2 linked regions of the Notamacropus eugenii genome follow. The protein of the gene in region 2 binds, or shares a complex with, the protein of the main gene of each other region. Links are inferred from orthologs where the notes say so. Each region holds a gene or a part of one and is shown on either strand. Other genes may lie near its edges.

Evidence for each region.
Region 1: the proteins of PRKAA2 (region 2) and PRKAG1 are in contact, whole or in part, in a crystal structure (PDB 6B1U), measured with the Homo sapiens proteins. The link is inferred for Notamacropus eugenii from reciprocal best matches to the Homo sapiens genes PRKAA2 and PRKAG1. Residues at the interface, in NP_006243.2 of Homo sapiens: Asp329, Asn330, Ile333, Met334, Ala337, Phe340, Tyr341, Leu342, His366, Pro367, Glu368, Arg369, Met370, Pro371, Pro372, Leu373, Ile374, Asn444, Val446, Thr447, Pro530, Arg531, Leu532, Gly533, Ser534, His535, Thr536, Met537, Asp538, Glu541; in NP_002724.1 of Homo sapiens: His36, Asp40, Leu41, Ile42, Pro43, Thr44, Ser45, Val50, Phe62, Leu64, Val65, Thr66, Gly68, Val69, Arg70, Trp75, Ser77, Lys78, Lys79, Gln80, Phe82, Pro158, Glu159, Ser160, Gly161, Asn162, Lys170, Arg171, Lys174, Phe175.

The regions. Positions count from the first base shown.
Region 1 is NC_092874.1:220,882,968-220,897,919, forward strand, and holds the start of PRKAG1 (5'-AMP-activated protein kinase subunit gamma-1), read right to left. Parts: upstream 8,140-14,952; 5' UTR 8,036-8,139; coding exon 8,027-8,035; intron 4,492-8,026; coding exon 4,443-4,491; intron 2,388-4,442; exon of another isoform or gene 2,223-2,387; intron 2,006-2,222; coding exon 1,637-2,005; intron 1,498-1,636; coding exon 1,439-1,497; intron 1,199-1,438; coding exon 1,153-1,198; intron 1,049-1,152; coding exon 994-1,048; intron 818-993; coding exon 691-817; intron 552-690; coding exon 386-551; intron 256-385; coding exon 218-255; exon of another isoform or gene 187-217; intron 1-186. Other genes in the region: KMT2D (histone-lysine N-methyltransferase 2D), read right to left, coding at 11,093-11,185, 11,292-11,400, 11,500-11,573, 11,741-12,026, 13,560-13,690, 13,802-13,938, 14,567-14,952. UniProt on the Homo sapiens protein: AMP/ATP-binding subunit of AMP-activated protein kinase (AMPK), an energy sensor protein kinase that plays a key role in regulating cellular energy metabolism.
Region 2 is NC_092873.1:516,702,535-516,717,673, reverse strand, and holds the start of PRKAA2 (5'-AMP-activated protein kinase catalytic subunit alpha-2), read right to left. Parts: upstream 7,816-15,139; 5' UTR 7,719-7,815; coding exon 7,625-7,718; intron 1-7,624. UniProt on the Homo sapiens protein: Catalytic subunit of AMP-activated protein kinase (AMPK), an energy sensor protein kinase that plays a key role in regulating cellular energy metabolism.

The sequences.
Region 1 (14,952 bases), on a different chromosome or scaffold from region 2:
TCCATCCCCCAAGAAATGCAGAACTCAGGTGAACTGGTCATCTCTCAGTCCACACTTAGCCAGTAAGGGAGTCAGTTCTTTTCTCCCATCAGATATGGAGACCAGTGTCACGGAAGCCCTTGAACCCACAAAGAATTCCCTCCTTTTCCTTCCCACATTTCCCAATCCCTCCTTCCTTTTCCCTACCACCTGAAGTGGTCCTTCTGAAGTCACTCACAATGACATCAAACTTGGAATAGATGTCCACCACACGCCCTGTGAAAATAGGGGCATCTTAACCGGAAGGGCTTGGAATTCAGCAATGGAACCCCCATCACTGCCCACAGAACACCTCTGGGGACACAGATTTCCCCTCCCCTTCTTCTCTCCCTCCTCAATTCCTTACCTTTCTCATCTACCACTGGCAAGGCAGAGACCCGGTGCTGAACAAAGATGCCCAATGCAACATAGACAGGTGTGGTGGTACGAACCAGAGCAATGTTGGCATAAGTGCCTATCTGGAGCTCCTCCAGAGACTTAGACATGAAGTCCGGTTTGGGAAACTCTGCAATCTGGTAGACAGATCAATTAACTAGACTACCAGGTCCTCCAAACAGCCCTCAGCCACCAACTCCCTAACCCAGCCCAGGGAGGCTTGAGGGCAGTATATGTGATGATGGGAAGTCAGAGAGGAAGAGAAATAGCACTTACAAAAAGCTTGAGGAACTTGAGGATGCGTTTGTGGGTGAGGATATACAGAGTGTTGCCAGAATCAGGATCAATGACTGGCAGTCTATGGATCTTATTTCGGATCAGTGAGGAAACAGCATCAAAAAGGCTGTGGAATGACGGGGTAATGATTAGCTCCAGTTGTAGGTTATAGAGGATTTGGGGACAGTGAGCAAAGTCAGACTATCCCAAGGCATGTATGTATGGGGTCATCACTCCCACCACCCTTCCCAGGTTCCTTTTGATGATGACTTTTCCATTCTGAAAAAGCAGATGGCAGCTCACCTGGCATTAGGAGAGATGCAGACAAGAGGTTTAAAGGAGTCCTGAAGGTACACCTCTGAGAGGAGAAGAGATGATTTACACACAAAATGCCACCAAAGAAAACAGCTTCCCAAGAAAATGTTCCAACCCTTTGTCTCCCTGTGACTCCCTACTACGAACCTCTCCAGGTTTCTATCTTATGTTCTTCCAGCTCATAAATCTGTACCTGGAATAGAGGTAACAGGGTTCGGGCTTTTATCACTCTATTCCAATAGACCCCCAACAGACTGTTCCCTGGGAAGTGGAGCAGGGGGCAAGAACTGTGCGCACTATGGAGGAAAGCAGACCCGAGGATGCAAAGAAGACACTGTCAGAAATCAGTGGCAGGGCTTGGAGGTGGGACCCAAAGAGGAAATCAATGGTTCCTGACTATGGCATCAGAATCAACGGGTTATGGGTTTCTCACCAAGGCTGACTTGTAGTAACGGTGTAAAATATTGATGAAGTCAGTGATGGTCAGCATGCCTGGAAGCCAAATGAATACTTAGGAATCGTACTGTCTTCCCCTTAGAACACCCTCAGATGAGGGAATCCCAAATGCCACCCTCAACTTCCCATCATGCCTACCATGATGATATCATCCATCCTCCGGACCCCTACTTACCCACAAAGCTCTGTTTCTTGCTGTCCCATAATGGGGCTGCCCGAACTCCATTTGTGACAAGGGCAAAGAAAGCTTTCTTTACCTGCAAGGAGGGGATGAGTAATAGAGAAGGAAGGGTCACTAGGAGAGAAATTGAGGGAGGAGGAGGATAAGAAGCATAAGGGGAAAGAAGGGTAAGAGTAGCCCTACAAATGGCTTTGGATGGGATATATAAAGCAGAGGCCTCAGGGAAAGGGTAGAGGATAAAAGCTTCACTCACCTGCAGGGAGGTATCAAACACAACCAGTTTGGAACTTGTGGGGATCAGATCATAGCATCGATGGGATTTCATGAAGCAGGTATAGACAGCGCTGTTGGACTCTGGGGTCTCTGCATAGCATGAGGGGATTAGTGTTCTCCATTCTGCTGTGTGAGCCCTGCTCCCCCTTCCCCCACCTCTCTGTCAGAGGGCTATAGCTTCCCAAATGGAGAGGTCGCTCTCCACGACACCCTCCCATTCCATCCTGCCTCATTCTTCTTCCTCCCACCAAACCTAGACAAGGATTTTTTGAATCCATCTAATTCTCAGTTTCCCAAGGCTAGAGACCATTTCATCTTTCAGCAGGGCTATGTCAATTCCTGTCAGGTAGAGAATGTTCTACTCAGAGTTCTCCAAAGGATAATCTCTTAGAAGTCTATTCTTGTCTGGAAGGTTCTTCTCTGAGCTAAGTTTTTTCACCATAACTTCTGTTCATTCTCTCTTGCTCTTCTCCTGGAATAGAATAAGAGTCTTGTGATGCTTCAGAGAGCTTTTGATAGGAATGAATGGTTGCCTTATCCAAGCCATTCCAATTCAATACCATGTTGGTGTGTGTTAGTAAAACACCATGTTGGATGGGACTTCCTGCTTCCTGTATTTCCCTCCAGCAGTCTAAGGTTCTGAGGATGGGTCTAGGGTGAGGTCAGGCTGGGTGTAGGATCCTGAAAGTCTTATTGATGGGTAAGAAAAATCCACAAATAGTCTGTACCACTAATAAGGCCTTGAGAGAGAGGGCAAGTTCAGAATCCAGTGAAAACTGAGACTATCTCCATATCCTTTGTCAAACTAGGGAAATATCCATAGCCTGCACTGTCCTACCTCATCCTGTGCCCAACATGGATTTTTTTTTTTAATATAAAGAAGAGAGCTATCTCTATCCTTTATCCTCAGCCATTATTCCAAATCCCATAGAGCCTCTAGAGTCTCTGAGGCTAGTATAAAAGTCTGTCTGGGAAGTCCACAGCAGCTTCAAGGAGTTCCAGAAATGGTGAAGGGGGGCATATTTAGGTCCTCCTAACTGGCTTCCTTGCTTTCCACTCTTCGCACTGCTGCCCCAATAATCTTCCTAATGTCAATAATCTTTTCAATAGCTTTCAATGGCTGCCCACTACTTAATGAATTAAAAGCTCCTTACCCTGGCACCCAAGAGTCTCCATAACCTTCCAACTTCCAACCTACCTTTCTAGTCCTACTTCATACTATTCATTTTCTTATACCCTACTTTCAGAACAGACAAGGGTAGCTTTTATCCCCACTTCTCATCCTTCCCTCACTCCTCTCCAAACTTGTACTGTTCTCCTGTTTAGTTAATTTTCCACTCTACCTCCTAATGCTGAAAGTCTCCTCCTTCCCTTAAAACTCAACTTAGATACCAGTTCCTTCAGGAATTATTCCCTTTTCCCAACCAAATCAAAATGATCTTCCCTAAAATTTCACATGCTACTTTTCCTGGATCACTCCTTCGTTATCATAGTTATTTGTGTACATGTGTTTCCTTCTACCCCCTTAAATTATACGTTTTATAGAGGTTGTGTGGCATAGTGGATATAAGATTGTCCTGGAAGCTAGGAAGCCCTGGGATCAAATCTACCTCTATTGCATACCGGCTATGTGACCCCAAGCAAATCCCTTAATCCGTCAGTACTCTAGGCAATTTTTTAAGACTAGAAGTTTCAGAGAAGGTACTGATTGGATTGGTAAATGAAGCTTCTTCAGCTGAAGGAGATTCCCTATACCAATGAAATCACAGGTCAAGTCCTGATTCCTCTCTCTATCCATCAGGGAAGGTCTACGTCATCTCTTTGGAATCTTAATGTCCTACGGCAATAGAAATCTTTTTTTAAAATAAATGGAAGATTATTTCATTATTTTGGGGTGAGGTTCGAAAGCCTGTCACACAGTATAGAGAAGCAACTGTAAAGGCAATTCAGGGTTCTTTCATAATGGCTCAAAACTGACAGGAGTTTGGGAACACTGTAGGACTGCTAAACCCTGTGTCTTGGATTTTATTACTATATCCCTAATCCATTCTATTCCTGACTTGAAATGCTGGGAAAATGTAGAAGTCTTCAAAGCCATCCCAGATGTGAGGGTACACACTCAGATGCTGGGTGACAAAAGACTGGTGGTTCCTGGCTCTGGGGTCTTTAATAAGTAACAGGGACTTCTATAATGTGGTCTTCTAGCCTATAGCTCTCCCACTGACAACAGTTCAGAATCTCCCACTGAAAAAAAATCCTACTCTAATTATCTAAATCACTTATGACAATCTTAATAAGCACCCCTATAACACCAAACTTATTCCTGTTGTTCCCTATATAAGCTCTTGATTCTAATTCTTATAAAGCGGCCTAATATCTCTGGTTTTTGGCTCAGCCCTGATATCCCCAGCATGTACAATGGGAGAGAAACAAAACCTGCTGAAACTGAAGACCAATTATAGACTGGTCACTGGTTTTCACAGAAGTACCCATCCTTCTTGGAGTATATCATGATGAAATATATTACCTTCCAGAGCTGGGGTGCATTTTTCCATACCACTCTCTGGAATAGTGACCTGGAAGGACAAACAAAGGAACTAAGCCTAACTTAGGATCTACTAACCTCATTATGTTTCTCATGGCTCTTGAATCTACCCCTCCCCCAACAATAAGGAAGGCAGCATAAAAGAAACAATGCTTTAAAACTGACACCAGTGATTCCTGGCCTAGGCTAAGCTACAAAAGCTTTTGAAAACGTAGCCCAAAATGTGGGCCCACACCTGACTCCCAAAGAATCTGCTATGGGGGTCAAAAACAGGATAGTGGGATATCAATGCCTTCCCCAAGTACTATCTTGAGCATAAGGACCATGCCACTTGGTCCCTAATCACAAAGACAGGGAGAAACTGGCAGCCAGTCAGTCATCACCACTTGAATGTCTGAAGGATAAACATGAAACATGTTCTGTAGCTAAGAAGTTTTTTCGAAATTCCAACCCAATACCTTTTGTCAATTCAGTGGATCAGTCAACAAGTATTTATTAAGCTCTGACTACATGCCAGGCACTTCTCTAAGTACTGGAGACAAAAAGAAAGGTAAAAAATAAACAGTTCCTGGTCCCCAGGAGTTTAGTCTAATGGAGAAACAAGGGAAGAGAATAAACATTTATTAAACACCTTTTTCTATGTGCCAGGCCCTGAGTTAAAGCACTTTACAAATATTATCTTATTTAAGCTTCACAACATGCAAAAACTTATGTACAAATAAGATATATACAAGACAAACAGGGGATAGTCTCAGAGGGAAGGCACTAAGATTACGGAGGACTTCTTGCAGAAGGTGGGCCTTTGAGATCTGAAGAAAGCCAGAGAAGCCAGGAGGTAAACATAAGGAAGGAGACTGTGCCAGGCATGGAAGACAGCTGGTGAAAATGCTCAGAGTCGTTAGATGGAGTGTCTTATTTGAGATCTCAGCATGTGGAGGATAGTAAGAAAACTTTGAAGGCAGGAATGGGCCAGGTTATGAAGGGCTTCAAAAGCCAAAGAGAAAATTTTATATCTGATCTGGGAGAAAATATGGAGCTAAAGGAGTTTACAATGGGAAGAATGATATGGTCAGACCTGCACTTTAGCATCACTTGATGAGCCAGAGCCTTCCAAAGCCAAGAGAAACACTAACTGCCTCTACTTCCTGGTCCTAGGGACATAGAGAGGGTAAAGGGGCAGTTCCTGCCTCCTTCCCTAGCTCAGAGTAACCAAAACTTGGGTAAATCTGTATACTTCCTGGAAATGTCAATGTTACCCAAAAGGAGTTATGCTGATTTCTATCTGTACTAGTAGCTGCAATTCAACATATTCAGAAAATGGTTCCAAAAACTGCATTTTTGCCCCACAAGTTTTTGCAAAAATGTAAGGCTAAAAGATCTGGAGTCTTTCTGCTGGCTAGTGAACAAAGGTCAAAGGCAAGCTGAAAGGACAGCTTCCCACCCCCAAAGGAAGCAAGAACCGAATTCCATTGCTGCTGTCTGCTGCGTGTGACATTTTGGCAATGCCACTGGAACAAATCTAGTCACCTGCATGTGAAGGTTACTGAGCAATGCAGATACATACATGTATACAGGAGACACAGACAAGATCACACAACATACAAAAACCAAAGACTGGATAACATAAAGAGAGACCAAGAAATGGAGCAGTTGTCCACTTTGGCATTTATATACTACCTTGTATTGTGATAATTTTTTCATATACAAATATCTTGTCTCCCAAACCAGAATGTAACCTCCAGGAAAGCAGTAATCTCAGTACCCTAGGCACACAGCTGGTACTCAATAAATATTTGTTGTTGAACTTCCACTAAACTTCCCATTATGATGCCTCATTATATATTATGGAGGTAACCTGCAGTTTTGTATTAGATACTATATTACAATGACAAGTCCTATACCAAGCCAGAATGGTTCAGACTTCAGGCTCAGTGATTAGCCTACCTAAATTCAGAGAGACTCATCACCAAAAGGATGGTTACCAAGTGATGATTTTTTTTGACACAGAAACTTATATATCTATCCAAGCTGTAGAAAAGCTTCATTTCTTTATTGGTGGAAAGAATATTTATATGGATGGAATCACAGATTATTTGAATTACTGCAAAACATTATGATGGTGATGTACTGGAAGACGTAGATGGTCAGAGTGCTGCACTAAGACAGAAAGATAGACAAGCACAGAATAGATACAAACATACATATGGCTAAGTAACCTTATCTTTATGAATCCACTTGTATTATCTGCTCCTCAAAAATTTCTGCTCCCACCTACCTCCCAGAGATGGTTATAGAATGAACTGAGATAGTAGGTTATTTATGAATGTGCCTGGAAACAAAGTTGCTATGTAAACCATAAGGGAGCAATAGAGGGGCACAGATGATTTGACACAAATAAGACATTTGGACTGGAAAACTGGATTTGTAGAAACACAAATGTACACAATCTATACAAATGTATAGACCTGGTCACATGTATATTCAGAGACATACCTAGACAGACACTTAGAAAGATAATTACAGCTAAGTTTGTGTAGCACTTGAAAGTTTGCAAAGAGCTTTACATATTATTTGATACAAAAAGTCACTAATAGGATACAAAGAGTCACTTAAAAGAACATAATTAGAAACATTAAATAGCTCTTAAGTACCTACAATGTGCAAAGCCCTGTAACTAACTTAAAAGAAGTTCCCAGGGTGGGGGAAGAGGCCAGTGGACGGTTATTCAATAGCCACGGTTCTTCCCAGGATGTTTTCTAAGGACATTTTTCCCATGCTGGTCGGATCCTTCTTAGCTACTTCCTTAAACTGCAGGGTTGGACTCTTTCAGGCCGTACATAACTTATCCTGAGTTTTACTCAGTGATCAGAATGAGGACAATTTAGCTCTTAGTATTCCAGCTCTTTGCTGTTTTCATCACAGTCCTTAGTTTGCATGCCCCATGTCACTGAATCTCAGACTCTTAAAACTGGAAGAGGTTTTGTAGACCGTTGGGTCCAAATGCGCCTAGAGAGATGAAGTACCTCGCCCGAGATCAGTTCATCGACGGCAGAGCTGTTATTTGAACCCAGCCCTCCTGCCTCCCAGTCCAGTCAAGAGCACTTTCCCAAATTTACAAGGTTGACGTCGTCCCTATGTCATTTTTTGGAGGTCCCACTTTTACCCTTTGCAAAGGAAGAAAACCCGTTTTTTGTTGTTGTTGTTTTAAAGAGAGGGGTAACAGCTAACGTGAAATGGGTGGGGCGACCCCTGGAAGGAGGACTACGGCCATGGGAACGCTCCGCAGGGACGGGCTGGCACAAGCGGCCCGCGCCCCAGGCTCCCTAGCGCCCGGAAGGGCCCGGGGCCCAGGCACCGGAGGGACGCCCGCCCTCCGCCGAGCAGCTTCCTAAGGCGAGACCTCGGCGTCAGGGCAGCCCCGGGCTCCGGGACGGACAGCCCAGACAGGAGGTCCGGGGTCCCCGCCCCCTCCCTCCCTTCCTCAGCCCGGCAGCGGGGAGCCGGCTGGCCCCGGCCGGGAGGCGCCCGCCGCCAGGCCCTCCGGCTGGCAGCCCTCTCCCTCTCACCGTCTCCATCCCGCTCCGCGCCAGCGGCTTTCGTGCCCTCCGGGCCGCTTCTTTCCGGATCCGCCCCTTTCGTCACTTCCGGCACCGCCACCCTACTTCCTCCCGCGTGACCTAAAGACGCGCGGCCTCCGCCCTTCCGGTAGCGACCAGTCGCCTGCGAGCGGCCGAAGGGGCGTTGCCTTTCCCCCTCCCTTCCCGGCCTTGGCCGGCCCCGGGCCGCTGGCGGCGGCGCTACCGAGCGACTCCAGGCGACTTGTATTTAAAATGCTTTTTTTATTTGTCCTTTAAAAACAAACTTGGAAGAAGCAAAATCCCAAACTTGCCCTTTGCCTCTCACAACATAAATTATGTACAGTTCATAATGATCGCCGATACAAAACATGCCACGGACGGGGGCTCGGGGCGGGAGGGCGCGGCCTAGAAGGGGTCATTTCATCCGTTGTTACGAAGGACAAACCTGGCTGTACAGCATACACAACACAAAGTCAAGTCTCCACGGGATTCACACTGGTCAGCGGTTTTTATCCAAGGGAGGCCGAGGGAGGGAGGGGGAGGAGAGTCCTGGAGATGAAGGGGAAACTGAAAATGGAGGGTGTGCGTGTAAACCAACCCAAAACACGAACGCGGGGTGGGGGCGGGGCGCTTCCGATGCGTTGTACAAGCGGGGAACTAAGAACAACAGAAAACCAAAGTTCCAACCTTGCAGCCTGGGTCTGCGTGATAGTTTGTATCAAAATTAAAAACTGTATAAGGTTCTTCACTAAGATCTACAGGACTACCAGATACCTAGCATACCTTACAAAGTCTGCCCCCAGCCCAGACCCTGCGCTGGGCTCCGCTCCGGCCCGAGGGCCTTCTGCTCTCGGAGAGGAAGAGGTCCGGCGGCTGGGGTCGTGCGGGCGGGGTGGGGTGGGGGGAGGGCGCTAGAGAAGCCCAGTCTTGCTCCTGGTTTACTTACAGCAGCTTCTCTTTGCTCCCTGTGGAGCTGGGGGCGGGGGTGGGGGGGGTGGGGGGGGTTAGGAGTTCTTTTAAACCTTTGCATCTTTAAACAAGTTGCGGAAGCAGCTTTGTCTTTTTCCCTAAAAACAAAAAAATCTTCAGCCTCCTCCCCACCCCTGCCACCCCATTCTGTCTCAAATTAAAACACAAAACAAAAACTTCAAAAGAAAAAAAACAACTAAAAACACAACAGCGACTAGGCTCCCTGCTCCAGCCCTCTCCACTGGCATCACCTTCATCCTCATGCTCCAGATTTCTGATGCTTTAAAATAATTACAAAACGCCCTTTGCCCACAGCCCCTAGAAGAGAGAACTGAATAAAAACTTCATCTGCAAATCTACGGCTCCCTACCAGAGAGGGGCCTAGGGGTTACTTCAACACCCCCCCCACTCCAGGAAGAGGTTCAATCACCTGCAGCACAAGTTAGGGAGGGAGATAGGAGAAAAAGGAGGGAGGGGACCCGTCACCCTCTGGCTCCCTTAGGGGCCAGATCACTTTTGTGCGTTATAAAAGTCCAACTGTACATCTGGGAGTGGGGAAACTGAGCCCAGCCCCTGTCCCCTCCCCTCACCTTTACAGCAGTCACAGCCAGGGGATGGGGGGGGGTGAGAAGCAGGGCAGCAGGTCTGGGATAATGGAGGGCAGCTCCCCCACAAGGGGAGCTCCAGGTGTCCCTCCCCTCGCCCCCTACCATTTATAAACTGGTTTTGTAAAAAGAAAATAGATATATTTATATAGAATATATAAAGCACAAAAATTAGTAGTTTTACATTTGCTCTCCCCAGGGGGTGGGGGGGAGAGGGGAGGGTTCTCACCTCCTGCTGGCCCCCCCATGCCCCACATGACTATATACAATCCGGCTTATAAATAGATAAATACCCCCCCACCCTCCCCACGATGACACTAAGCTCCCCTACCCCCAACACCTCCCTTTCCCACCAGACCAGCAGCAGTTTGGTGGCTGGGGAAGTAGGGAGCTCTGGGCCCCAACCTGCCCCACGGGGAATGGGTACACAACTCAAGAGAATCTCTTTCCCCTCCAAATCCAGGGAGAGGCTGAGGGAGGCACTGGGCTCATGATGGGGTTGGGAGTACAAGAGGAGGACACCCTGGTTCTGAAACACAACCCCAATACCTCTCCCTTCCAACCTGTTCAGAGGGGGAGAGATGCCCAGCCTCTGAGGGGATCGAGGGGTCACCCTCTCTCAATCGCTTCCCATCAGCCCTAGTCACTACCCCATGCCCACAGTTAAAAACAGATTTTTTTTCTAAAGGTTTTCCTTTTTACCCCCCCCTCCCTGCTACCCCCAGTTCAGACAAGGGGTTGAGGGATCAGAGGGCTGGGGAGAGGGTCTCACATTTCAAAACAGCAAAAAATCCAACACTTAAATGAGGTAGGTGTGGGTGCAGGATCTCCTTGCCCGGCTTGCCTGCCTTGCCCGCCCCACCCGGGCAGCTGGGTGCCTCTTTCCCGTTCGTGTTGCATTTGTCAGAGAGAAAACAAGGAAACACAACCCAGAAAGAGAGAGATGGAAAGAGGGACAGAGAGAGACATAGAGGAGAAGAGGGAGACAGAGAGAAAGGGAAGATGGGGGTTGGGAAGTAGGGACAGGACCCAGCGGGCAGGGCCAGGTGTGGGGACCCAGCCTTTGGGATTGTCAAGCTTAATCAAGTCTCTTTGCAGCCTTGAGTTGGGCTGGGGACGTCAGTGGGAGCACTGGGGCTGGGAGACCCAAGCTGCCACCCTCCTCACCGTCTCTGCTGCCTCCTAGACGGTGCTGGGTAGTTCCCAGCCCATATCTACCCAACCCCCCCACCCCCCGAACCTGAGATGCCCAATGGCTGTTTCTGTCTGTCGGCTCCTGGAGCTGGGGGCAGATGTGCCAGCCTGGGGCCTGTGGTGGGGGAGGGAAGTCATCCCTGGTGCCCAGAAAGGGCCCTGAGCCCCGTCCTGCTCCTAGGGCTCTGGTCAGCCAGCAGCCCCAGCTCTGGGTCCTGGCTCTCTTCCCCTTCAACCCTTCTGGGAAGGGCTCTGGAGGGTCTCCCCTGCCCAGCTGCCTCTGAGCTTAGTTCATCCACTTTCGGCAGTTCCAGGCTCCACAGTGGCAGGGGATTTTGTGCTGGTCATCCTCAAAGTCAAACTGATAGTCATAGGTCAGCTGGGGAGGGAAGGGAGAAAGGATCAAGTCCAGTCAGGCTTAGGGAAAAAAAAAACATACAAAGGAAATCACTGCCAATCACATCATTCCTAAGACTTCCTCTCACCTCTTCTCCTTTGGGGATGCGCCGGCTGGAGATGATAATGATCTTATCCTCCTTATCAAAGGTCACAACCTCTGCTACACAATTAGGGGCACATGAATGGTTAATGTACCTGAACCGGAAAAGACCAGGGAGTGGTCAGTGTCAGGGGAACAATTCAGGTTAGGGCCAGTTCTACCCTGACATGCCCCTCCCTCCCTCTCCATCTTACCTGGCTGGCCCTCCAGTAAGTGTGGCATCAATCACATGCTCATTGTTGATACGAAACATATAGATACCTCGATTCTGTAAAGAGGAAGGGAACAGGAGAAACAGATTCAAACAGATTCAGGCTTTCCAGCTTTCCACAAATATCTCTCGTTTTCCCTTGAAGACTCAAGTTTGCCCGCCATAGCCCCATCGTCCTGAATCCCCGGAACATTCTACACACAGCTCCTCTCCTTGGCCCTAACCTGCTCCTCATAGATCTTCTCACGACGGTTGGCCACCTCATTTCGAATGATGGTGCCAATGTACTCAATGACCATTGTGTGCTTCTCCAAGTCCTTGGCAGCATACAGCCCCAGGCCCTGAATACGGGATCGAGCCAGGTACACGTTGTTCTTCCACTCGGTGCGGAGCCGGCGGTACTGTGATGATTTGGAGTGCACAAACTGTTTGCTGTACGGCGTGTTGGTCTCGCCCGTGAAGGTGCTCTGGTATGCCTTGGACATGCTGGTGCTGTTGAGGGTGTGAGGCCTGGGGACAGCAGGAAAAATGGCAAGTCAGATCTAGTAGACACACAATGATGTGTACCCAACCCCCAACTCTGGGATGTGGCAAATGTCAGCCAGGCCTCAGGACATGTGCTACGGGCATATGGGAAATATAGCCTGGGCAAATAGAGGCAGAACCTGAATTTACTATAAGGGTCTCCATCTTGGTGGGGCAGCAGTTAAAATCCATATGGCCCTCTGTTCAGAAAACCTGAGATAGGTCTAGGAATCAAATAAGCGAAACTTCTCCCATTCCCTGATGTGTGGATACATTCACCCTCTCATGACTAGCCTAACACAGATGCTCTTCCCTCGACCACCCCAAGGACAGGGAACAGTCTATGTCTTGTCATTCCAGTCACTGGACTATCCCTTGGAGCTCTACTCCGAGGGCATATTCAGAATTCTGTTCCTTTACCACATTAGAACAATTCTTGAGAACTAAAGTTGTTTACACTTTTCCCCCTTGAAACAAAAACTACAAACTTTTCCCAAACAGGGATGATATCTCTCTTCCCTTGCCTCTGCACCAACTATTCAATTCAGGAAAATAATTCAGTAAACCTGTTTGACTCCATTTCCCTCCCCCACTGCCCCCTACCCTTCGTCCCTACTCCCCACTCCACCTTCTCCCTCCACAACTACCTAGGCTGTATTCCTGCCCTTCATCTCTGCACACCAGAGATCAAGTCCAGGACTCTTTGCTTGGGGCTTGGTCACATACAGTGACAGAACTCCTTTAAAATCGTTTCTGTCTTCCTGTACCCCAGCTGGTGAGCTAGGGTCCACTAATGGCATAGTGGGAAAAGCACTGAACAAGTCAAGAAACCAGGGCTCTAGCTCTGGCTCCATCTTTGACTTGCTGTGTGACCTTGGGCATGTCAATTAACTTCCTTGGGCCTCAGTTTTCTCATCTGAAAAAAAGGGGGGTAATACCACCTGCCCTACCTACCTCATAAGGATGTTGTGAGGATCAAATGAGATAATGGATGTGAAAGCGCTTTGGAAAAAAAAGTATAAAATGCTATACAAATGTGAGGTTTTAATGTTCTTTCAATTATTATTCCTGGGGCCACCTCAGGTGGACATTAGCACTCCAGGGTACATCTAAAGGCTCCCTTTTAGGCTCAAGGTGGAGGGAGTCAGAGCCCTTTAGAGAGGGGAAAGGGAAAAAACTATTAGCTCCCTCATCCATCACATCAATAAATACCTGCCTACTGCATACCTCCCCAGTTAACACATTTCCACCCTCCACCCCCATTAGTTAGGCAGGAAAGACAAGCTTTAGAGGGGGCCCTGGCTCCAGCCTCCTCTATTCAATATGTCTGAGTGATTCCTCAACGTTTCCAAAGGAAAAGATGTCTCCATTTTCACCCCATCTGTGTTGTGTTCCGCCCCCCTGCCCCCAATTATCCCAAGGTCTCCAATCCTCCACCCTGTTTTCTGCCCATTCCCTTCACTTCAGATCCCTCCCAAACCCAGCTCGACCACAGACTCCCTCAACAAGTAGGCTCACCGTTTGTAGTGAGTAAGGATTTTGGGCTCAGAGCGGGCACAGCCAGTAGGGTTGATCATAAGTGGTAGTTCCATCAGTGGGTGCCGTCCATATCGAAACAAATAGTTGTGACAGCTTTCCACTCCAGGCAGCTGTGGACACAGTGAGCAATCTACCACAGCCCAGGCCCCTGGGAGCAGGGGTACCCCAATTAGCCTACCCCAGAATCCCCTGCAGCCCACCCTGCCCTCCTCCCACCTTACCGACTCTGCAATTCGTAGGACAGCATGTACTGTCAACCCAAAGAGCTCCTCGCCCTTAAGATACTCCGGGAATAACCGAAGCATGTCGGCTTCCTTGCGCATGGCAGCCACTGGTTCAATGATACGGTTCCACACAGCTGAGGGGAAATCAAATGACCATCAAAAGACTTATTTCCCCCCATATCTGGGCTTTACCCAGATACAAGAGTTATTTTTTATCTGTGGCTCCCATGACCTATGCCAGGGGTGGGAAACCTTTGGCCTCAAGGCCACATGTAACCCCAAGGCTGCAGGTTCTCCACTCCTGACCTATGCCTTGACTCCTTCCCTCTAAAACAGGAATGGCACCCCTGTGGGTCAGACCCTCTGCTCTAAAGACAGTGAGGAATATAAAGTAGGAATATCAAAAAAATTATCTCTTACCCCGCTCCCTCCACCCCTAAATATAGTCAATACTAGTCAGAGCTTCATTTAATACCCTAAGTAAGAGAAAATAACGATGAGTTAGGATCAGATTAAGGGAAGCTTGGACCTAATCTGTGGGGACATGGAAGTAACTCTTTTCACCTCAAATGAGAAAAGAAAAAAAAAAAGAACAGCAGAAAAGATTAAGGTTGAACAACAAAAAACTCTGCCCAGTCTAATGGATGCTAGGCCACAGAAGTTAAAGACTAAACACCAAAGACCTCTGTGAATTACAGCTGGGAAGGAGTTTGTCCTACCCACCCACACAGTACATGGTTCCCTAACTCCCTAGAGCCTCACCCTGGGGGGATGCATCAGTGAAAACCAGGTCTTCCAAGCCCTGTTCCATGACTTTGACAATAAACTCAGGCCGCCCGTTGTTTTCGATGATGGAACAGCGATAGCAGCAGCGCCGATTGTTGGTACGTAAGCTCCAATAGATGCGCGTGGCCTCGTAGCCAACTGGGTAGAGGGCTGTGGCACTGTGGAAGTCGGCCATCTGGTGGGGCAGGAGCTGCCCAATGGCATGGAACACTAGCCCTCCCACCCGGAACATGTGTAGCCGCTCACCACGCTGGATGATACTAGCAATCTGCTTCACCTCATCCCGCTCAATGTAGACACGGCGAAAGACAGCAAAGGAGCTCAGCTCCTGCTCACAGGGCCCCTTAAGCTTGTGCAATGGG
Region 2 (15,139 bases):
ACAGACTGAAGTACAAGGTACTTAGAGAGGTGGGGAACTAGCAATTAGGAAGATCTGGAAAGAAGAATTCCATGAGAAGGAGGTAAGGAAGAAGGGTACTCCAGGTAAATAGAATGTTCAATACAAAGGCTTGGAGATGGACTACTATGTTTTAGAAAAGAGAGGACAGTTTAGCACAGCAAAATGTGAGAAGGCAAGTAGTGTGTGTGACTGAGAAGATCAGATGGGTCTGTAGAAGCCAAACCAAGGTGTTCTTGTTTTATTGCTGAGGCAATAGAGGTCCACCAGAGTTTATGGAGTCCCAAGGTCAGAGATACAGTTATCTCAGTAGTGTGGAGAGTGCACTGGAACACAGTGGGACCAACAAGGAGGAGGCTGCATTTCCCTTCAAGAGGCAATAAGGGCCTGAACAAAAATAGGAGGTTCATGAATAGAAAGACTTCAGATACAAGAGATGCTTTAAAGGCACAAACAGGATCTGTCGATTGGCCGGCTGTGTGGGCTGAGAGAGAAGGAGCAGCTGAGAATATCCCCAAGGTTACAAACCAGGTAGGCTGGAAGAAGGGGGTGCCCAGGAGAGAATCCCCAAGTTTGGAAGGGGACAGGGAGAAGAGGAGGATAAGGAACGATTGTGGACATGGAGAGTTCTTTAGGCCTCTGAAAAACCCAGTTTGAAAACTGCCCAGGAGGCAGCTGTTCATGCAAGACTGCAGAGAGGAGAAAGACTGGGGCAGGCTGTGCATCTGGGAAGCATCTGCAAAGAAATAATCAACTCATGGGAGCTAATGAGACAGCCAAGAGCAGAGAGAAAAAAGATAAGAGGGCCTGGGCCAGAGGGACATGAAGTTCATCTACTAACACCAGGGGCTTTCTTCAGACAAACCACTGTCTGGCCATGCCTACCCCACCTAGTTCATGGGTCAAAACAATCTACACAGGACTGTGTGTGTATGCGTGTGTGTGTATACATACACACGTGTGTGTATATATATATATGTGTGTGTGTATTCCTACTGAATTTCACTTAATTAGATTTGAAGTCTGACTTTTGTTTTTCAGACTGCTAACTATTCTACCCTGCCCTAGTTCACCAGTAGATGGGATAAACATGATATTTTTTCATTAATCCAAAGCACTGATAAAATGTGAGCAAAAACCAAAAAAGCCCAAGGCCAAACACAAATCCCTGGGGCCCTCCCCTGGAGGTCACCAACTGACACTGACGTGAACAACTACTCTTTAGTGGATGGTGCACTGAGCCAGCCAAGTTCCAAATTCATCTAAGTACCCTATCATCTAGCCCACATCTTTCCCTCGTTTCTTCAAGGACAACAGGGTGGGCATTGTTCAACCCCGTTAGTCATAGATGAGGGAAATGAGGTTCAAGAAGTCATGTGAATCACTCTTAAGTGGTAGAGACAGGATGCTAACCTAGACCTTCAGACGACACAGTCAGATCTCCTCCCCTGGGCTGACCTACCTTACAACTGCTCACTTAGGAAACGATGAACTACAATGTTATTTTTTTCAAACCATTTGTACTTTTTAGACTATTAAATGTGATTTTCATTTTCCATTTTCTAATTGCTCAGTAAGTTTCTCTTCTGATCCCTAACACGGTAATGCTAATAAATCAATTTACTTTTAGACATCATAGAATGTCTCTTTTTTTACCATGAAAATTTTCCTCTATAAAGAACCAAAAAAGGGGAATTTTATAAGACGTTGCTAATTTCTATTTGGAGCAGCTTGATTTTTTTAAGAGGTAAGGTGGGGGAAGGAGCAGACATAGGTCTTGTGATCCCATTAGTAGGGGAGATGATCCTACCAATGAAATCTGGTACTTCCTCTGCCACCTAGAGTCTTGGAGGTATCAAACAATATGCCCATAGACCAAATAGGGGCTCCACAGCAATGGGCCCTCGGGGGGCCCACACCAGATTAAAATGCAATTGGGAAATATTTGACAAAATAAAGATAATATTAATATGAAGTTTTCTGAGTCAATATGAAGGCCTGTTTCTATTTGAATTTAACCACACTGAGTTTAACTATTTAACTATTTGAGTTTAAGCACACTGAGTGCTGTGACTTGCCCAAGGTCACACAGCCAGTAGATGTGAGGCTTAGACCTCACAGAATTTCAACTTAATTTCTGTTCAAGCATTGAATAGCAGATGATTTAATTTTATAAGATAATTAAGATACAAATGTTAAGGGTACCTTATATTCCATAAAAGTTAAGAACTGAACTAGAGCCAAGAAGAAAAAAAAACCTAAAGGAATATAAAGTGCTCCTAACTTTCGTATCTTCATGGTCATATAACATTAGCTCATTCACCATCCGACCTTTGAACAGAAATTAAGTTAAAATTCTACAAGGTCGAAAATGTGCAAGAGTCAAAAAGATCCTGTGTTTTTATTTCCCTTCCCAGATGAAATGATTAACCTGAATTTTGCAGAAAGTGCTATAATCCAGTAACCAAACAACCACACAGATCCTAACCTTGGGTCAGAAATGACACTATTTGGTGACAATTCTGGCGTGGAAATTTTTCAGAGAATCTGCTCCTTAGAGGAAAGGATCTCTCTATGAAACAATTTTTTTTTTTAAATCCACATGATTTGTGTTTGACACAGATTTTTTAAAGCAGCAATTCAAACTTATTAGGAATATGTACAGTGGTTTGAATGGTCCTTTCAACTATCAGGGACTTGATGAAGACACACTACTAGGACACTTCTCCACACAATGAAAGGCTATGAAGTTAAAGTACACAAATTTGTGCTCCCAGACCTCTAAGTGACAAGACTATCCCGTCTGCATTATCCTTTACAGGGGCTAGCTAGCACAGGAACATTTTGTAAATAATACTGATTCACATCCACATAGCACTCTAAAATGCTGGCATCACAACCATCTTGGGATGTTTTGGAGAATCACAGAAGCGCAGTGTCGGAAGAGACTCAAGCGGTCATCTCGTCCTGTCCCCAGAGATGGATGATCTCCCAGCTACTCCATCTGTCCTGTATCTTGTTTGGCCTTAGTCCTTTTCATGTTATCACCCCATTCAAATGTAAGCTCCCTGAGGGCAGGGAATACCTTTTGCCTAGTTTTGTATCCCCAAAGCTTAGCACAGTGGTTGGCTATTATTAACTACTTGATGACTAACACCAAAAAACTATTCTCCACTTCATACCCAAAAAGCGACTGTCCCATTCTGGCATGAATACATCTAATAGGAGAGCACCCACAACCGCAGACAAATTAGCCCATGTCCAAATCGGTTTGACAGAAAAAGTTACTCAATTTCTGAGACTACCAATGACATAGCCATAATAACGTAGCTAGTAAGTGTCTGAGGCAGAATTCAGACTCAGGTCTCCGGACTACAAATTTGCCAGACTACTGACAAAAAGCATGATGAGATAGCAACCCAATTCCAAATCATTATGAAGACAGATATCATATGTAGAACCTCAGTGACATAGTATATGATAGATACGAATGTACATATATTATCATACGTATAAATTAATATACGATATAGGAATTTATAATTATGTTATGTCAACATTGTGTTATGCTATATCAATGTGTATATCATGTATTAAATCTATAATATACATCTACATATTAAAACTATATCTATATATATTAAATCTATAACAAACATATATCATATATATTAAAGAAGGAGCATAGTTCCTTCTTCAAGGAAAAGCGCTGATCAAGCAGAAAATCTGGATTCTCTTCCTGGCTACCTGACTCCTCAAGCCTCAGTTACCTGGCTAATAAAACAGGTATAATAACACATATACAATATACCTGTCGGGCTTATCATGAGGATTAAATAAGACAGCATAACATTTTTAAAAAACTTTGTATATCACTTCATGATTACAAGCTGTTTTATATATACGGGTCTTGGAGAAGGGTACAGAGTGACCAAGGGTGAGATGGGAAGGAGACATAATATTTACTCTGTTTTTTCTAATGTACATTCTTTTATGCCAAGAAATTCAGTCGGTGTTCTAACTTTACCTCAAGGGAACAAATGTCCCGTCCAACTCTGTCCTTCCCATCTGTCTACACCACCCATCTGTCTACACTCATCATACTGCTCCCAAAAGTAACCTAAGCTCATACAGTACCTAGAAATCAATGCTCCCCTATGCCAGAAATGAGGAAGGAAACACCACCTGCTGATCTTGGCTACAATCCTTTGGACAATGGGCTTCACATTCCTCCTATATAACGAACCTGAAAGTAAGAACACCTGGCAGATTGATAGACAAATCAGGACAGGAGGAAGAAGCAGCCAAGGACAATTACCCACCCCCTCCTGGAAAGAAAAAAAAATCGACCTTTTCAAAATCTGTGTCCAGCAATCAGAATCAGGATGAAACTTGAATCAGCTGGCTCCAGAACTGATTCAATGTACAATGAACAGAAACAGCTAATGAATCTCTGGGACTATTACTAACAGAAAAGACAAAGAGGGCACCAGGGCAGCATATGCAGAAATGTCCCCTGTGGACAACGAGCACTTCTGAATCTGAGGATGGAGAAGATCGGCCCTTCTCAGAGAGGACCCTCAAGTCTCCAGAATCCTGGCAGTGAGGGTAGGAACTCTGCCCCCAAAGCCTCTCAGGCCTGCCAGGAGGCATGTGTGCCCCTTCAGAATCACAAAGTATGGTATGAAGGAAGAGAAAGCATCATCTCCACTAACCTCAATTTACGCAGAAGGGAATGAAAGTCTAGAGCAGGAAAATGAGCTGTCAAAGGTATGGCAGGGAGTTAGCAGCAGTTCAGGCTGCAACACGGGTCTTCTGTCTTCTGACTCCCAGGTGTTACATTTCCCACTAAAACCATGCTGGCTCTCAAAAGCTGGCTAGACCTTTCCAGCAAACTGCCTTCAAACCACTTAGAGGCAGCTTCAGAATCCCCCTTGCCATCCTGATTATCATAGAACTTTGCATGCTCAAAGTAACCTCAGAAGGCCTTTATTTCAACCCTCATCTATCCCCATATGACTCCACTAAAGACCTCTGGTTTCACACAAATGAAGGATGATTGAGGCCTGTGGTGTGCTGGTAAATGTTAACAGCCAGCTCCCCGCCCCACCCCAAAAGAAAACATTCACACGATACACTTTTAGAATTAGAATTCATTACACTGAAAACAGCTCACTCCATTTTGAGTCAACTTACTGGAACAGTGGAAGCAAGGTTTTCTTTGTGGGGCTGATGTTTCCTTGCTTGTACCTGCCCCTGTTGCTTTTCTCCTGACTCATGCAGAATAAATCACACTCCTCTTCTGTACCACAGCCTGAAGACAGCTAGCTGTCTCAGTCCCTGAGTGGCCAGGATACTAACTCCTTCAGCAGGCCACAGACAGAGTTTATGGAAATGGGAGGATGCTACTGCTGCCTGGAGGAGAACAGAACCTTGCAGGCCAGGTCTTTGGGACCTTACACAGGGAGGCTGTCCCTGTCTTTGGAATAATGTTATCTTCTTAGGAATTAGTGCCGTCAGTGTCACCTCCAACCTCATTCTCACTCACCAAACTATACTCACCCCTACACAAAATTACTATGGATTCATTTTGTACATTTTTTATTTACTTTTTTACATAGATTGTATTTCCCTTCCCACCAGAATGTAAACTTTATGAGGACAAGGAACTGTCTTACACCTTTGTGTTCAAGACTTGCACACAGCAGATGCTTAATAAATGCATCTAGAAGGAAAGACAGTAGGGGGGAAATTTAAAGCAGTACTAGATTTATATTATAATAATGGTCCTATCATACTCTAAATAAGAATAATAAGGCTTTTTGCATTTTATAAAAAAGTGTTTTCCATACACTATCTTGTTGGAGCCTGAAGACCACTAGGTGCACTAGTTACTCTAAGTTTTGTTAACTCCATTTTACAGAAGAGGAAACTAAGGCTAAAAGAGATTGACTTGTTCATTTTAATCCAGCTAAGAAGTGCCAGAGTTGGGATTTGAACGCAAAGCTCCTTCTTAAGACTAGCAGTAGTAACTCCGGCATCTACTGGGTCAAGGTGCCTCTGTGATCCCAGCGAGCTACCACGTAGCGATGCCACCAGCTATGCACTCTGCCATAGCCCTCTCTCCCCACAGTATGCCAGTGCCCGGCCTGGGAGGGACAAGCATTTCTCATCCCACACGGAGGAGGGAGAAAACGAAGGCAGAAGGATGGGGCGGGCAGAGCCCTGTCCGGTGTTCCCAGCCAGGAGCCAGAGCTGCGGCTGGATTGGCATCCAGATCTCCCAGCAGCCCAGGGAGGGACAAGGGCCGGCCTAAGGTCATCCAGGACCAGAAGCTTTGCTTCACTTGCTGCCCAGGATCCTGGCTCCAGGTGGGAGAGACCCGACACCAACGGGTACAACCTCTTCCTTTCACAGAGTGAAAAATAGAGGACGTTCACGCAGCAGAGTTAGGAGGTGAACCTGGGACCAAAGACCATGGTGCCTAAGCACTTAACACAGGGGAGCCCCACCCTAGGAAGAGGGGGAGTGCCCCGAGAAGCCCCAGAGCAGCCAGGCCCCTCTCAAGGTCACGCAGGTAGCCAGAGGCAGGGCTGGGGCCCGAGCCAAAACCTCCGAGACAGGTGTGGGAGGGGCGGGGAGGACCCGAGTGACCCAGCCCCGACCACGCCCCCGCAGCGCCCCGCTCCCGCTCCCGCTCCCCCTCCCCCTAGACAGCTGGGCTACGAAAGGGCGCGCAGCCTCTGCCCTGGGAGAGGATCGCCCCCACCGCCTCCTCCCTAGACAGGTGTACACTGCGTGGGGCGCACAGGTGACCCCCCTCCAGCCCTGCACCCGGCCCTGGGGGAGGGCCGACCCCACAGCCCCCTCCCCCGACAGGTGTACACTGCCTGGGGCGCACAGGTGACCCCCCTCCCCCGCCCAGTCTTGGCTCCGGGGCAGGATCGCCCCCACCGCCTCTTCCCCAGTCAGGCGTACACAGGGAGGGGCGCACAGGTGACGCCCCCAGCCTCTGCCCTGGGAGAGGATCGCCCCCACCGCCTCCTCCCTAGACAGGTGTACACTGCGTGGGGCGCACAGGTGACCCCCCTCCAGCCCTGCACCCGGCCCTGGGGGAGGGCCGACCCCACAGCCCCCTCCCCCGACAGGTGTACACTGCCTGGGGCGCACAGGTGACCCCCCTCCCCCGCCCAGTCTTGGCTCCGGGGCAGGATCGCCCCCACCGCCTCTTCCCCAGTCAGGCGTACACAGGGAGGGGCGCACAGGTGACGCCCCCAGCCTCTGCCCTGGGAGAGGATCGCCCCCACCGCCTCCTCCCTAGACAGGTGTACACTGCGTGGGGCGCACAGGTGACCCCCCTCCAGCCCTGCACCCGGCCCTGGGGGAGGGCCGACCCCACAGCCCCCTCCCCCGACAGTGTACACTGAGTGGGACGCACAGGTGACCCCCCCCCAGTCTTGGCTCCGGGGCAGGATGGCCCCCACCGCCCCCTCCCCCGGACAGGTGTACACAGGGAGGGGCGCACAGGTGACCCCCAACCCCGCACCCGGCCCGGGGGGGAGGACGCCCCTGTGCCCCCCCCGCCCAGGCGCGCCCCCCACTCAACTCTTGACTTTGCCGAAGGTGCCGACCCCCAGCGTGTCGCCCAGCACGTAGTGGCCGATCTTCACGCGCCCGTCGTGCTTCGGCTTCTCCGCCATGGTCCGCCCGCCAGCCCGGCCCAGCCCGGCCCCTCCTCCGCACGGCCGAGCCCCGGCCCGGCCCCAGCCGCCGCCTCCGAAGCCGAAGCCGCAGCCGCCCCGCGGAGCTGCCCCGAGTGGCCGCCGCCGCCGGGCTGCTGTCTACCCACAGTGCCGCGGGAGCGGGGAGGGGGCGGGGGGGAGAGGGGCGAGGAACCCCGAGGGGAGGGGCGAGGGAGCCGGAGACCTGCGCCGGGAGGGGAGGGGGAGCGCGAACTGTCAGGAGGAGGGAGGGAGGCCGCGCGAGGCGGGGAGCGGGCGGGGGGAGCGAGGAGGGAGGAAGACCCGGAGGGATACAAAGTATCCAATAAATAACCAAGCGAGTCCGCCGCTTCCCCGCACCTCGCTCCGCAGCGCGGTCTGTTAGGATCCTGGAACGGAGGCAGCCCTCGCCGGGGACCCCTGGCCTGTGCCTTCAGGGATCTGGGGGGGGTTTACATTCCCAGTTCTGACACCTCCTGCCCCAAGTCCTGTCTGGTGCTAATTTGGGCAGAATCCTCCCAGGAGCTCCTGGAAATCCAGGCATTTACCGAAGGATGCTGTCTTTGCATAGAATTGTGAGAAAAAAGTGAGTTACAGAAGTGGGGTCCTCGCTGCCCCTTCAATACCAAGGTCATGTGAGGGAAGGGGCGGGCAGGTAGAGAGAGTGAGTGCTAAAACCGAGCTCCTTGGGATCCTAGATGACTCTGTATTTTGTGGAAATTGTTGAGGCTAAATCAGATACTAATAAAGTTTGTGTGGAGGGGCCTTAATGTCACTGAGCAGATGACATTAATTAATAGAAATTCCCTTTCTGGAAATGGGACTCAGGTCTCTAAACTGGCCTTTCAGGGAAGGAACTAAATAAAGGGTCCCCAAAGCCTTAGCATGGCTATAAAGGCTATTAGAGCTTTGGGATCACCTCTATTTATTCATAAGAAAGGATGTAACAGGAGCTTGTTGAAAAGCAGCAAATAGATGCGGTGTCTAAGTGTTTTCCAAACCTTTAAGTTTATTCTTGTGTGTGGTGGAAGCAGAGCCCATCTCATAAGCTGATAGATGGTCATTGTTGCTTATTGTACCCAGAAAGATCATTTCAGAATCACTCTCCCTTCATTGCTATGGAGAGAAAACAGGTAGTTCACATTTTTCTGTTGTGATAAATGAGCTTTTCTTTGGCTAAGGCTCACTCCTCCAGGACTCCAGAAAGGGAAGAGTGGACTGGTCCTTCCCCTTGCTCATAGACAATAGGGTCTTTTTTGAAAGGTCATGACAATTTGTTAGTTAATATTCCTGTACTGCCTGTACTGTGTTTACCAAATAGTCAAATGATCATTTTGTGTTGACTCCCTTTCTTGAAGCTCTACCACAACAAAGAATCTAAAGCATATCATTTAATTGCTTTATATTAATTATTAACTAATTATGACAGCTGAAATGATTAAACACCTCTATTATGACTGGGATCATTATAGGCATAACTTTAAAGGATAAAGGATTCAGAAAGGTGAGAGAAAGTTCATATTAAAGAGTCTTGACCACTGAAGGTCTAGTCCAGGGATGGAGAACCTTTGGCCTCTGGGCCACATGTGACCTTCTAGATCCTCAAGGTTGGCCATTTGACTGAACCCAAATTCCGCAGAACAAATCTCCGTAATAAAGGAATGTTCTGTAAAATTTGGACTCCATCAAAAGTCTGCACTTGAGGACCGAGAAGGCCATATGTGGCCTAGAGGCTGCAGGTTCCCCACCCCTGGTCTAATCTGACCCCTTTCTGTTAAAAGCCTGAAGAGGGAGAATTATTTGCCCAAGGTCACACTGCTGTTAAGAGACGGAACAAGACTCAAACTGTCTCTTTGGAGACTCTTTGACTCCAAAGGCCAGGGCCATCTTTCTAATACTCCACATATCCAGCCCAACTGTACAAGCCTCTTCTATAACACCCAATAGCTTGCTGAGTACCATCTCTGATGAGGCAGCTGACAACTTCATGAGGCTAGTCCATCAGAGAACAATCACATTCCAGAAGATCATTGGGTGACCAATCAATTACCCAACAGTTATTAAATTCCTCTGATGTGCCAGGTGCTGGAAATGCAAAGACCCCTCCCCTCTCAAAAAAAGAATCCCAGTCTCTGCCCTTAAGGTTCTTCTGTTTGAAGAAAACATATACTAAATAAATACGCTGTAATCCTGGGTAAGGGAAGGTACTGACAACTTAGAGAATCAGAAGAGACTTCTGTAGACCAAGCTTTAAGACAGCTAGAGATTCCAATAGAAGTGAGGATAGAGGACATTCCAAGCATGGAGCACAGCCAGGGCAAAGCCTTGGAGATGGGAAACAGAGTGTTATGAGTAAAGCAGAGCAGAAGGCCCAATTTTACTGCACCAGAGACCATGGTTAAATATAAAAAGACTTTGAAAAAGTAGACTAAAGTCAGATTGTGAAGAGAATTAGTCACATGAAGGAAGGCTTATTTGAATTCTAAGGCAATAGAGAGAGAGCACTGGAGCTTCTTGAGCACAGGAGTATCGAAGTCAGATCTGTGCTTACATTCAAACATTCAAACATTCAAAGGAGAATGCAGAGACTTGAGGCAGGGAAACTCATTATGTTATAATCAGTAGCCAAGGTCAGAGGGGATGAGGTCAATAGAGAGATGAAGAGAGATTGTAGAGATAGAAACTTCAACCTCAAATTCAATGAAATAATATCTCCACAAAGCCTTTAGCTCAGTGCCTGGCACATGGAAGGCCCAAGACACATGCTTATGCCCTTCCCTTCTCCCAACCTCCCACACTTCCCTTTCTCAGGAAGCCTGTTTCTTTACTGAGAAAATTAGGTCTACACAAAGTGAGCTCTCTCTCTCTCTCTCTTATCCATTATTGTCATCTCAGATCCCTTGGCTGTCATCTATTTCCCACTCTCCCCCACTTTGCCCTAGTCTCTGACAAAGAGGTCTTGGCTCTTTTTTTTTTTTTTTTGGCCAAAGCCAACCCCTCTACATGTGTCCCCAGTGAAACCCCTGGGCCCCATTCTCCAACATCCTTAATCACCCCCTTCTCTCACAAACCTTCAACTTCTTTTACCTGTCGGGACTGCCTTCAAATATATCATATAGTCTTCCTCATCCTTAAAAAAAAAAAACCACACAACTCTTCACTGAAAACTACCATCCCCTGAATTATCTTCCTGTATCTCGTCTTCTTTCTTGGTCAAATACCTTGAAAAAGCTGGTTACCTTCCCTGAATGAAGAAGCTCCTTTCCCACTCTCTTCTCCACCCTTTACCAGCTGGCATCCATCCTCATCACTCAGATGAAACTGCTCTCTCCAAAGTTCCCCAAGATCTCTTAAGTGCCAATTCTGTTGTAGTGGAATTTTGGTTTTTGTTTGTATTTTTTCCCAATTCTCATCCTTCTTGACCTATCTGCTGAATGTGACACTGTTGACTGTCTTCTCCTCCTGGATGCTCCATCCTCTGGATTTTCCTGACACTGACTGAAGAGCCCTTCTCAGTCCTTTACAAGTTTATTCATTAACTGTGGGTATTTCAAAAGGTTCTATTTTAAATTCTTGTCACTCTTTTTTCACTTTTCACTCCTTCAGCTCCATTGATTTAACTGTCATCTCCACTCAGAGGACTCCAAGAACTACATTTCCAGTCCAAGTCTCTCCCCTGAGCCTCTGTCCCCCTATACCAATTTCCCATTGGACATTTCAAATTGTATGTCCTGGAGACATTTTAATCTCCACGTATCCCAAATTGAAGTTATTATATTTCCTCCAAAACCCTCCACTCTTACAAATTTCCCCAATTTTGTCAAAGTACCACCATTCTTCCAGTCTTCCAGGTCCACATTACCCTTAACTTGTCCCTTACCCTTACCTCACATAGCCAATAATTTCCCAGATCTTGCTATTTCTACCTCTAAGCACCCAGCTTCCACTTCAGTTCTCATCACCAGGATGATGGCACCTACCTCCTAATTGGTCTCCCTCCCTAAGTGTCTCCTATTCTAGTCTATCCTACTTAGTGCTGCCAAAGTGACTTTCCTTAATTGCAGATCTAATCATATGATCCCTCTACTCATTCCACCCCATTGTCTCTAGGATCTAATAGAAAACCCACCACTTAGTTTTCAAAGTCCTATACAATCTGGGCCTCAACTTATGTTTCCAGATTCACTGGACATTACTCTTCCTCCTGCACTCTTGGATCCAGACAACTGGGCCTGCTTTCTCACTCTCACAGATAGGACAATCCATCTTCCTACTCTTCATCTTCATCCCATTCACCAACCTGGAAAGGGATGCCTTCTTTCCTTCCCTTTACCTCCCAGAATCCTTCTCTTTAAGATACAGCTCAACTACCACAAATCCTTTCCTCATCCTACCAAGTGTTGATGTCTTCCTTTCCAAATTTCCTTATATTTAACAACTCCGTCTATATTTCTTCACTTTCTACTATATATTTGCGTATGTATGAATGTATATATGTGTCGCCCCCATTGGAATGTCCATTCTTGTGGACAGAGATTGCTTCATTTCTTGTACTTGTATCCCCAGTGCCTAGCATAGTGCCTGGCACACAGTAGGTGATTAATAAATATAATATATAGTAATAGATAAAGTATTTAATATATTATATTCTAAATTGTTATATATTTAATTAAATAATTTAATACAACACATATTAATATTTTTAGAATGTTGGCTCTTTTTGAGTGCAGAGTGCACTAGTATCCTCATTGCCTAGCATGGTGCCTGTCACACAGTAGGTGATTCATAAATGCCAGCTGGTTAACCAAGTGCTTAGCCATCACCTCCCTGCTATCTTCTGATCCTCCATGGTTCCTCATCGTCCCTTCTCCCAACTTTACCCCTTCATTCAGGGTGGTGGTTTTCCTTCTACTGTCCTGCAGCCAAAATTTGGACCAACTAAGAATGATGGCCCACTGTTCATATTTACTCAGGTTCGTTGGCATTATCAAGTAACCTTGATTTAGAGGCCACCTGCTGTTCCCCAAACTGGGCTTTGCCCTTTGCTAAGTAAACCCGAGAAGCCAGGGCTTTGCCCTTTAGGAACTTTTGATCGGGCTAATTCCAAGGTAAACAAAGCTTGGCTAAAGCTAATCCCCCAGAATGCCTAGAAATGCCCTGAAGCACTTGTGCTGAGGTTAATGAGGCTTAGGGGTCAGGAACCAGTGGGAAAGGGAGGAGTGGAGGGAACCAGCTGAAATCCCAAGGAATTCCACATAGCCTTTCTCCAGGAGCTTGGAGAGGAGCATTCAATGAAGGAGCCAAGCCTGGTCTGAAACATGCATGGTCTATGAAACATGCTTCCAAAGCATCCAGGAGATACAATGTTTCTGCCCAAGATACTGGAACATGTGGTCGGTCTTTGTACCAGAAACATCTTGGACAGCTGCTTGAAAGAAAGTCTTGAGGACTTGAATGATGCAACACCTGAGGTGGCCGGACTTCAAAGATTTATTAATAACTTAATATGTGCCAGAAATTGCATTACATACTAGAGATGAGAGGGTGAACTATGAAACAGGCCTTGCCCTTGGGGGGCTTTCAACCTCTCCCATTACATGGAGGAGGAAGGAAATTTGTTCTTCATCTCCCAAGGCAAAACTTGGGGTCATAGGATCTGTTGTTACCACTGAGTCATTTCAATCCTGTCCGGTACTTTGTGACCCTATTGGGGGTTTTCTTGGCAAAGATACTGCACTAGTTTCCCATTTCCTTCTCTAGCTCATTTTATAAATGAGAAAACTGAGGCAAACAGGGTGAAGCGATTTGCCCAGGGTCTTACAGCTCATGTCTGAGGCTGAATTTGAAAGTCTTACTGACTCCAGTTCCGTGTTCTATCCACTGGGCCACATAGTTGCTCTTCATTAACTAGGGTGACAAGGAATTTGCCACAAGGTCTGACAGACGGGATATTCCCTACCACTATCCTTGGCCAACTACCAGCACGACCCCCCATATACAAAACCAGGTATTCAGTTCTTTCTCAAAAAAAAAAAAAATGAGAAGAGGATAAAATTTAGAAAAATATTTTCCCTTGAAATTACATAATTCACACCTTTAAAAAAAGTACTTTGGAAGTTTCCAACACTAATATTTTTTAAAGAAAACATTTTTACCTTTGTTAAGCTAAAGGGGCAACTGGGTGATTTAAATTGATCGGAGCAGAGTCAAGGCAGAGCATTTAACATTCCAACATTCCAACATACCTCCCTCAGCCACTCTTCATTGTTCTCTTACACCTTCACCATATCTTAGGCTCTAGAACATAGATAATGTTAAAATGTGGTTTTCTAAGGCAATGTGCACCAGGCTCCTGTTTCTAGTTGAGTTTGATACCACTGTTGTAGACTAGCTACCCAGCAAGGAGCAAACCGATGGGATCCAGAAGAACAACCTGTGAGAAGAGCTGCCATTTTGGGGGACAAACTGCCTAACCCAGGAGCTTACATCCAATGTAAGCATCAGGCTAGTGAGGGGAAGTAGAGGAACAACTTTAAAGATGTGAATTGCCTACATGTGTGCCTACCAGTCTACTCTGTTTGGACACTGGACACTGTGTGGAGAGTGTTTCCTGGATTTATGGGGAAAATGTTTTATAGCTACTATTTTTACTATACCACCTGTATAAAGTAGAAGTCTTTATGATTGGGGGCTAACAAGTTGTAGAGTTTTCAAATTGGGGTACCCATAGTGTACCCCTTGAACCTTGTAGGAACAGCCACCCACTGGGGACCCAACCTACCAATGCAAGTGTAAGTTGGGGATGTAGCCAGGGAGGGTAGGGGACTTCATTGATTAAATGGGGGGGGGGGGTCATCCTTATTGTAGTGGAGAGACAGCATTGTGTAGTAGATACAAAGTGGGCCTCAAAGTCCAGTCCAGTCTTTCACTGACACCTACTATGCATTTATCCATAAATAAATCACTTCCTCTCTCAACACCCCCTAGGAAACCCTAAGTTACAGAGGAGTTACTGACCTGCATTTGTAGAAGGAGTATCCATAACAGGAATTCCTTCACTAATGAAATCCCACATCAGGTTCTGTGTCTGTCTATCTGTCTACCTCAGTTTCTCACATATAAAATGAAGGAGTTAGACTAAATGGTCTATGAAGTCTTGTCCAGCCCTCTCTCTCTCTCTCTCTCTCTCTCTCTCTCTCTCTCTCTCTCTCTCTCTCTCTCTCTCACTCTCACACACACACACAGAGTGGGTGAGGAAACCATCCACTCCCAATTCCCCTCCACCCCCATCCTAGAAAGAAAATATAAACATAAAGTAGAAATTACATTATTTGAATAGTGACAATAGGCAATAGAATCTGACAGACAAGCTACAAACTGTTAGACCTTGGACAAAGAAT